Linked DNA regions of Drosophila melanogaster. The gene in region 2 interacts genetically with the main gene of each other region. Each region holds a gene or a part of one and is shown on either strand. Other genes may lie near its edges. The genes, in order: cathD and CtsB.

Region 1 (5,447 bases), on a different chromosome or scaffold from region 2:
AATTCTTCAATACTACTTTTTCCCTAAAATGTCACAAATAGCCGCTACCTTTGTTTCTAACTGCTTGGTTTGTCAAAAAGCCAAATACGACCGCCATCCGCAAAAGCAAATCCTCGGGAGAACACCTATTCCGTCACATGTAGGCGAGACATTGCATATTGATATATTTTCTACGGACAGGAATTACTTTTTGACATGTATTGACAAATTTTCCAAATTCGCTATTGTGCAACCAATCGGCTCTCGAACGATAACTGATTTAGAACCTGCAATTATGCAACTAATGAACTTTTTTCCCCATTCAAAGACAATATTTTGTGACAATGAACCGTCCATAAATTCCGAGTCAATCAAGTCACTTTTGAAAAATCGTTTTAATGTTGACATAGCGAACGCACCTCCACTTCATAGTACCTCAAACGGACAGGTTGAAAGGTTTCACAGCACGCTTTTAGAAATAGCTCGATGCCTGAAACTTGACAGTGGAATGAATGATACAGTCAACCTTATTCTTCAGGCAACAATAGAATACAATAAGACGGTGCACTCAGTCACCAATAGAAGACCGATCGACATTATTCATTCAACTCCTCCCGAATTGGCTAACGAGATAGTAGAAATGGTTAACGAAGCTCAGGAAAAACAGCTAAGAAGAGAAAATGTAACAAGACGAGACAGAACCTTTGAGGTGGGAGAAACCGTCATGGTAAAACAAAACAATCGCTTGGGAAATAAACTAACCCCACGGTATAGGGAAGAACTAATCGAAGCAGACCTCGGGACAACGGTCCTCATAAAAGGGAGGGTCGTTCATAAAGATAATCTACGCTAGGTTTAGTATTTCTTTTCCTTTTGTGACCATCGCCAAGTTAGCAAAATACAAACGTGAAATCTGAACACTAGTAAAAGAGTTTGCAAACATTTTTCAATTAAATATTTGTCAAATCCTTCTTATTTAATCTTTAAACATTTTGTATTATTTCCGCTTCATCCTCTTTAGAAAATTTTAAAGGTATGTGATGAAATGCTAGACCCGAATGATTTGAAAACTTAAAGTCCACGCAACCACAAATATTTCCTGAAACTACCATAGAAAATAAATGCATTACCAAAACGGCATAATAACAGTATAGCGCACTCACTCTAATTAGATTTCAAATTCCCGATTAAAAAAAAATAAAACACTAATGTTATCAATACCCTTTCCTGATTCTGTTCAACTAAATAGGAAAATCAATACTTGCAATCAATAAGCGTTTTACTACATACTTTAATATCAAAAATATCTGAATGAACTTTATTATAAAATTATAATTGTTATACTTAATTATTGTCAAAACTTTAGTATTAAAACTGTAACTACCTCTTAAGTAGATGAGAAGAGTAGAAGAGGGAATTAAGATCTATCAACGTAGTATCTGCTAAAGACGTAAAGATGCGGCAACTATTTCTGCGCCTGGGTACTGAAACGACGAACTGAATAATATCTGCCATCAGACGCCAACCAGAGTGCGTTCAACACATACGTTTTGATGGTCAACTAGTTCAACCAACATCAGCATCATCGTCGTCAACAAGTCGACGGTTACAATAAAGATTTTTTCCAAGTTCGCTACGATCATCTCCAGAACCTTGTTGCGAACCCATGACATGGAGAATCAGCAGCATTTACGAACTTCTCGGATCATCCAGACACGCAGAGCTGCCTTCCCTTCGATGGTTTAACGCAGTACCAGGTTGGCAGTATGGGAACTTAGTGCACAACCAATGTTACCCGTAAGATCCGCTTTCAAATAGATTTGCCAATTGTAAAAAGTCTGTGGACAGCCTTCGTCTTAGAAGGGGAGGAGTTAACACAATCACAAAACACCCGAAATATAGTCGTAAGCCTCAAGTGCTTTTCCCATCTATAGATCGAGCTTTACCTATAAGAAACTGTAACTTGTTAAGCTTTAGAGATAAGAACTCTTGCTATACTTAAGTTAGTCGATTTTGGAAGATTAGAAGCGTCGGTCATCGCCACGTACTTACTATTCGTCTCATTAAGTGCAGACCGCGCAAGCCCTATTGTAATTAATAAACTTACGCTAATAAATATATGGAAAATCTACTAAAATGATAATTTATATATTATTCTTCGGAGAAACCCGCAATGGGATCGATCGATAATGTTTACAATTTAAATTTTAAGTATACTTTTCTTTGTTCGATTATTTGGCATCGGCGAAGCCCACACGATCGTTGCCCATGTCAAACTCGGTGTAGTATTTGCCAATGAAAACGTCACCGAGGATCCACAAGGGTCCGTTTGGAGGGGGGATGTCCAAGCCCATAAAGCCGGACAGACAGATGGTCTTACCCATCTGGGCCACACGGAGAATATAGTCCTTGCCCTCGAGCTCGAAGGTCTTTCCGCCCAGCACAAACTTGATTACCGGCAATTGGGGAATGAGATCGCAAGAAACCACATACTAAAGTAAGAAATTAAGAGGATTAGCAGTGCTTCATGTGAGAACTTAGAGCATGGTACTCACCTGACCACCGATGATGGGAGTTCCACCAATCTTCTGGTTAATAGAGGTGGCCTCTTCCAAGGGCGCAGCAATTAGTGAGGTACCGGTGTCAGCGATCACCTGGCAACCGCCCTTGCACAGCTGCAAATCGCCAATGGAGGCGGCATCCATCTTGATTTGCCAGTAGGCCTTGCGGGTAACGGGCAAGTAGGTGAATTCACCAGTGTAGTGGTTGGGATCGGAGCCGCCAAAGATGATCTCACCGCCCTCGGGCGAGGCGGGATCGCGATTCAGGTAGAATGAGAACACCGGAGCGGAGATCAAACCCTGTTCGTACATGGCGTAAAATGGCGGCTTCACCTTGTCCACCGAGATGGAGTTGTAGCCCAGGCCTAGGATGCCGTCGAACTTGGCAGCTACGAAGACCAGGCCCGGCTCACTGAGCGCCTCAGCGAATGTCTGATCCTTGATGTCCAGGCCGGCAATGGACACCGTATCCGTGGACAGGTATCCGGACAAGCTGCCCGAGCCATACTGGATGGCGAACTCAGTGCCGTTCTTGGTGTAGGTCTTCGACTTGGAGGCATCGTACTTGTTGTGCATCAAACAGGCGATGTTGGTCAGGTGGCACTTCTTGGACGGCACCCACAAGTTCGAGGAGCCGGTGTCGAAAACCACACGGAAGTTCTGCGGTGGCGAGCCAATGGCAATGGGCCCATAGTACTGCGCGTCCATATAGTTGGACAGCGGTTCCGGCACATCACCTCCGCCGTACCTAATGCGCAATTGCTGCAGCTCCGTGCCCACATCCGCAAAGTGCCGGCGGGCCGACTGAAATTTGTGGAGCGGTACGCGCAGCAATCCGGGCTTCTCCTGCGAATTTGGGTGGGCCACGGCCGCAGCCAGGAAGGCGACTAGAAGCAGTGCAACCTTCTGCATTTTGATTTCTATGTTACGCTTCTCTGGTGGCTAAAACTGCAATGATCGCTGCAGTTAATTAAATATTGCGGCACAGCGAAAATGATTCAGCACAGATAATGTACTAAATTTGGCTTGGCGCGTCGTTTTGATTAGAGAGATTCGATAGTTTTTGTTGTAAACTAATGCAATTCTTTAATTTTCGGAATGTTTCTTTTTAATATTTCGCGTTTATGTATATATAATACAAATGTATCATTATTTCTACACATTTAGGAAGAGCTTGTATCATGACTACGATCTTACTTTAGAGACAATAAGGGAAAGCTAAAAAAGTATTTCCCATCTTTCATTTTTAAACGCTTTTATGAGCAAACAATTAACAATTATGATGAGCAACCTTAATGTATTAATTGATAATATAGATAACAATCGTAAGGAGCGGGTCGAAGCTGAATTTCGAATCTTTACTTGTATATATAAATTCTAATAAATTCATGATAACATGGAATTATATATTAAAATATGAATAGTAAGTTGTATTTTGAGCTTAAATGGTTCAAAAATATTACAAAAATAGTCTTCTTATAGTCACCTAAAATCCAGAGAAATAATTTTATACTATTGATTAAAATGAAATAAAAGTATTAAATATAGATAAAAGATATAGCTAATCCTTTCTAGTACTTTTTACAATCACTTATTACTCGACAAAGTTTGGATTTGACCTTAGCACAGACATCCAAATCGGAGATTAGGTCATCAATGTTCGTTCGGAACGGAGTAACTCTAGCAGTATCCTCGAATGACTGTTTGGCGCGCCGCATTCTTTCGTGAATCTCACTCATATCGAGCATCTTTCCAATAGAAAGCTCATGGTTGGTGGACAACAGTACCGAGAACAGAACGGCGGACTCCATGGAGACTTTGCTTCGATACCCAACGCAGGTTTTCTGCTCCATTTCATCGCTTTCCATGAGCACGGTTTGGCATCTTTTCAGGGAATCGCCTTTCTATAAAAATCGAGCAAAAATTAATATCATACTATTGGATTAAGAGAGTAAGAGATATAAGATTATAATGTGATGTGTAAGTGCCCGGATAACTGCATAAGGATAGATTAAATTAAATTAAAAAAAGGGTACTTATTGTTTATTAACGAAAGCAATTTTAAGTAAATACATTCATATTTATGCATGTACATAGTAAATTGGCATCAAAATTATTCGCCGACAGATATGCTTACCTTAATCTTCTTGATATCTTCAGGTTGGATAAAATGTTTCTGGCGCTGGACTACAAATCGAGCTGCAAGGTCACAATCCGGAGTGTACTGGTAGCCTTGGGCAACGCGCCTGAAGAATGGATGCAGATCCAGAAGCTTAAGGCGTTTTTGGGCCATCTCCGAAAGCTGATAGGTGTCCAGTTGGGGCAGAACTTCGGTTAGGAATAAATGGCACACTTCCTTGGCAGTGAGATCCCTGAAAGCCTCGTTCCTGGTGTTCCACTCCTTCCAGGCTGAAGCATCCTGGATGTAAAACAGACGGCACGACGCAACAGCGTAGTCGATCAACTCCCTGTGGATCGATTGTTCAGCATCGTGCAAAAGCGTAGATCGAGCAATACGGCCGATATTGGCATTAAATTCCGCTTCGTCCACAGTTTCGTCCATTTTCATTCCCAATATAAAACATTTTATTATAAAACAGTAAAGAATCGGTTTAATTTCAACGTGCGCTTTCAGATCTGCACTCTTTTTGTAATCGATAACTGCTGTGTATCGTATGCGGCACTGAGACTATTGAAATCTTAGGGAATGTTTAGGAAATAGGAACATCTGGAGTTAAATGTATTTCAAAACCGAAAGCCACAACTTTCCTTAAAATATTATGCCAAAAAAAAATCTACTAATATAAATTTAAACATAATACTTAATTCTTTATTTATGTTAATTCATAATAATTTCTCTTCCAAGGGAAGTGTATTTGGAGTGCGGCTACTAGCATAATTTTCACT
Region 2 (4,644 bases):
GTATTTTGCATAAATTCCCGGCTAACAATTATATATTTTCGTTTGTTTTATTTATGCACCGCGCAGTGCTTATTGTTGTTGCCGTTTCTTGCGGGAGAGATGCGACGCGCACGCAGCGTCGTCAATGGAGAAAAATAAAAGAGAAAGCGCCCGCTCAGCTCAGCCAGTCTCCGTTGACCGCGCGGTTGGCGAGCTTTCTTGCAACTGACTTTCGAGTTTGAACGCGAAACTTTCGATTTCCATTTCCCGATGGCGAAGGACGATAGCCATCATACGATAACGATAGCCCAATGGAAAGCAGCTGTCGGAAATGCAATGGATCCACTGAACAAATTTTGGAACAGCTGTGGCGCTACATTCGAATTGAACAAAATATACTTTAAAATTAAAAATAAAAACGATTGTGCAAAGTCAAAACGTCCCTTTTGATGCTATGCGGGCATTTTTGCACGGATCAAAGCTGTAGTTTTGGTGTAAGCTAAAAAAACAATTGGTTTAAGAGGCAGTCATTTGATTGTCTTAGGCATATAAAAACTATTTAACTGTACTTCTAAATATTTATTTATCCTTACTTTACATCTAATAGATATGTATGAAATTATTAATTTCAATGATTTTATAACAAAGGTATTTATAATGAAATAAGGGGCAAGTTAATTTAATTTCCTAACACTACGAATTAATCAGTGAACAAGATTAATCTTATTTAACTACTTAAAGCTATGACACAGAGGCATATCACACACGTCTAGACATAGGGATTCCAATTGCTGCCGTCCTCGGGCAGCAAATTGTTGGTGATCAGGAGGATGACGTCGATGATCCACCAAACGCCCACGCCGCCCATGGTAAGCAGTTTGCCCACAGCCGTGCCCGTTTGACCGAGACAGAAGCGATCCATACCGAGGAAACCCAGCAGCATGCTGTAGATCAGTGTGGTCACAAAGTAGTGATCCGTGTAGCGGACACAGGGCACTCCGGCGCGCAGAAAGGTGCGATTACCGTAGCACTCGATGTCGGCAAACACGGTGCACCAGACCATGGCGTGCTCCACCTCTTCGTACGTGGAACCACCGAACTTCAGGCATCCGTATTTCTTTTCCTGCTGCGCCGTGGCGTTCTCCCGATGATCGACGGGATCCTTGCAATCGAGAAAGTCGCGCGGCAGAAACGAGCACATCACATTCGGTCCCAGTGGATAGAAGGCCGAGTTTCCAGCTCCGCCCGAGGCGGAAGATGCCGAAGATGACGATGAGGAGGGTCCCATGCCGGAGCCCAGTTGCGCCTGAACGGGCACCACCGATTGCACCGCCGTGCCGGAGACCACAGTCTGCGGCTGCTCCTTGTCGCTGCGTGCCTGTATCGCTTGGGCATCGTGTTGTCTGGCCACCAGGAACGCCAGTAGTCCGTAGAAAATCCGCATCTTTGCGAGCTCCTTATCAAAATATAGCTAGCCAGTGTGGCCACACCTTAGCACAGCTAACAGAGCTCTGTTATCTGCGATGGCCTACCGATAGTTCTGATTTTAAGCACCACGACAACGAATGGAAATAAATAAATGCAAATAAACCACCTTTCAAGTAACAGTGCTCCTTAGCATATTTATTGGCATTAGTGTGATCGTAGTCTTTAGTTAAGTACATTTAGTGAAGTGCTATTTAGTATAATGCGTTTATTTATTTCAGACTAGTTACCAATCACGCGCCCATCTCTACATTCGATAGGCAACGGCCCTGTTGCATTGGTGTGCACACACTGGCCGCGTAATCAGCGGGCGCGAACCATTTTTTTTTTTTTTTGTGCGACAGAACAAAAACAAGAGAATAATAGACGCTTAAAGAGCATTACCCGTCCGAATTTCACGGGCAGTACGAAAACAAGAACGGAGCAGAGAGCCCGCTTAATACGACGCGTCATTTTCCACCATTTTACTGCTGTGATTTGTTTGAATTTTGCTGTGTCAGCGCATTGGAAATTCGTTGGACAAGAATAATGAATCTATTGCTCCTGGTGGCCACCGCGGCCTCCGTGGCGGCACTCACGTCCGGTGAGCCGTCACTGCTCTCGGATGAGTTCATCGAGGTGGTGCGCAGTAAGGCCAAAACCTGGACGGTAAATTCCTTTGTTTCCAACCCTTTTCTTGCTGACGTGACAAGAAAATTGCATTTTCCCGTTTCCTATCCGCCAGGTGGGTCGCAATTTCGATGCATCCGTAACGGAGGGACATATTCGCCGCCTGATGGGCGTCCATCCGGATGCGCACAAGTTCGCACTGCCCGACAAGCGTGAAGTTCTTGGCGATCTATACGTGAATAGCGTTGACGAACTTCCCGAAGAGTTCGATTCCCGCAAGCAATGGCCAAACTGCCCAACCATTGGCGAGATTCGCGACCAGGGTTCATGCGGCTCCTGCTGGGCCTTTGGTGCCGTGGAAGCCATGTCCGATCGCGTACGTAGCTTACCTTATCGATATTATAACCCCTTCCATTCTTTGTTTGTCCAGCTGATAAATTTCCCCATTTTTTTTTATTATTATTTTCTTTTTGTATTTGTTATCAATGATTTTTTTTTTTTTACTGATTTCGCAATGGGCAGGTGTGCATCCATTCCGGCGGCAAGGTGAATTTCCACTTTTCGGCCGATGATCTCGTCTCCTGCTGCCACACCTGCGGATTTGGCTGCAATGGCGGTTTCCCCGGCGCCGCCTGGAGCTACTGGACGCGCAAGGGAATCGTCAGCGGAGGACCCTACGGATCTAATCAGGTTGGTGATCTTCTCCTGCTTTAATGGGATTTTGCAAATCATATTTAGTTTGGTTTAAAAGGGCTTGCAATTTGGTTTTGCTTGCAGATGAGTTTCCAATAAAAAAAAGGGTTTGTTTTCTAACGAAGAAAAACATACTTTATGTGCAAAAATAACCTGTATTTGTACATATTGTATTTCTACGCCGAAATAGTTAGAAAGCAACTTGATTTTGTTCTTTGTTTACTTGAAGTGAACTGAAGACTCAGTTTACGACGCCATAAAAAATTGTATACCACAGATATCGCTAGAAAGCGGCTTAGTATATCATATACAAACATCCATATACACAAAGCTATATGTATATATATCATATACGAACATCTATAGATATACATGCATATATTGTGAATGCACTCCAGATTCGCGTACATCCTCAACGATAAGTTTTAGCTGCTACTAACTCATTTCCCAGATATAGTAAGGCAAACAGAAGAAAAAACGATTCTAATATGCACTTATTTTGCAGGGCTGCCGTCCTTACGAGATTTCTCCCTGTGAGCACCATGTGAATGGAACCCGACCACCATGTGCCCATGGCGGTAGAACGCCCAAGTGTTCGCACGTCTGCCAGAGCGGTTACACCGTCGATTATGCCAAGGACAAGCACTTCGGCTCCAAGTCGTACTCGGTGAGGCGTAATGTGCGTGAAATTCAGGAGGAGATCATGACCAATGGACCGGTTGAGGGCGCCTTCACCGTTTATGAGGATCTCATTCTGTACAAGGACGGTGTCTATCAGCACGAGCATGGCAAGGAGCTGGGCGGTCATGCCATTCGCATTTTGGGCTGGGGCGTTTGGGGCGAGGAGAAGATTCCGTACTGGCTAATTGGTAACTCGTGGAACACCGATTGGGGCGATCATGGTTTCTTCCGCATCCTGCGTGGCCAGGATCATTGCGGCATCGAGAGCTCCATTTCGGCGGGTCTGCCCAAGCTGTAAATGTTATATGTATTCCGGCATCAAGCTGATATATCAAAACCCCTCTATTTTCTATCATCCCTCCTTTTATTTTCATTCCGATTCGCAACTGACGTTTGTAGTTAATGTAAACAACCTAAACCTGATTGATAATAAAGTATTGTATATGACTGTGGAACTGTACTTTGCTCGTATACAGTGGGACCTCTCTAACTAGAAACAAGGCAAACAAAAAAAAGAAAATGATTATCAAACTGGAACTCAGATATAATTAAAAGCGAATAATACTATTTGTGAAACAATGCTATAACTATCCAACTATAAACTATTGTTTAGCGTAGCTATGCCTTTTTTATTTAATAGTAGAGATTAATAGTAGAGAGTATCTGATCCTCTATACTATGTACACACATTTAAATGGAACGCCGTCAATCGTTCAATCGTTAAACTGGCTAGCTGTATGTTTTGCGAGTTATAAATGTGATTAGCATCGCATTTGATTAATCAAACAAAGAGTACAGCTTGCAATCGCATTCGTCATTTGGTGCGATTTTGTTGAGTTAATTTATTATTACATTAGTTAGCTTGGCCATACATACATACATACATACATATATGTACATACATATGTAAAACTTATCTCGTTGAAGCTGCCCACAATTTGCAGCACCAAATGTCCATTCAAATTGTACACATATTTATTCACATAACATGTTTTATTTATTTTTCTCATTTGCAACATCAAATAGAACATTTGTTTTGTATTTTCAGTTTTTTTTTTGTTATCTTGTCATGAACCAACCGCTTCTCTTATCGATTTTCTGTGAATTGATTGACTGGTTTTGTAGCCACTCTTCTATTCACCGAAACTCGATATTTTTCTAACAAACAGCTTACATCGAAAAATATTTGTTACTGCC

Evidence for each region.
Region 1: of CtsB (region 2) and cathD, changing one enhances a phenotype caused by changing the other (phenotypic enhancement), as found in Drosophila melanogaster (one study listed by BioGRID).

The regions. Positions count from the first base shown.
Region 1 is NT_033778.4:7,820,015-7,825,461, forward strand, and holds the start of cathD (cathepsin D), read right to left. Parts: upstream 3,556-5,447; 5' UTR 3,453-3,555; coding exon 2,535-3,452; intron 2,472-2,534; coding exon 2,211-2,471; 3' UTR 2,097-2,210; intron 1-2,096. Other genes in the region: CG30383 (uncharacterized protein), read right to left, coding at 4,112-4,444, 4,678-5,109.
Region 2 is NC_004354.4:13,779,278-13,783,921, reverse strand, and holds CtsB (cathepsin B), read left to right. Parts: upstream 1-1,751; 5' UTR 1,752-1,992; coding exon 1,993-2,112; intron 2,113-2,188; coding exon 2,189-2,449; intron 2,450-2,595; coding exon 2,596-2,763; intron 2,764-3,271; coding exon 3,272-3,745; 3' UTR 3,746-4,075; downstream 4,076-4,644. Other genes in the region: amrt (amaretto), read right to left, coding at 749-1,423.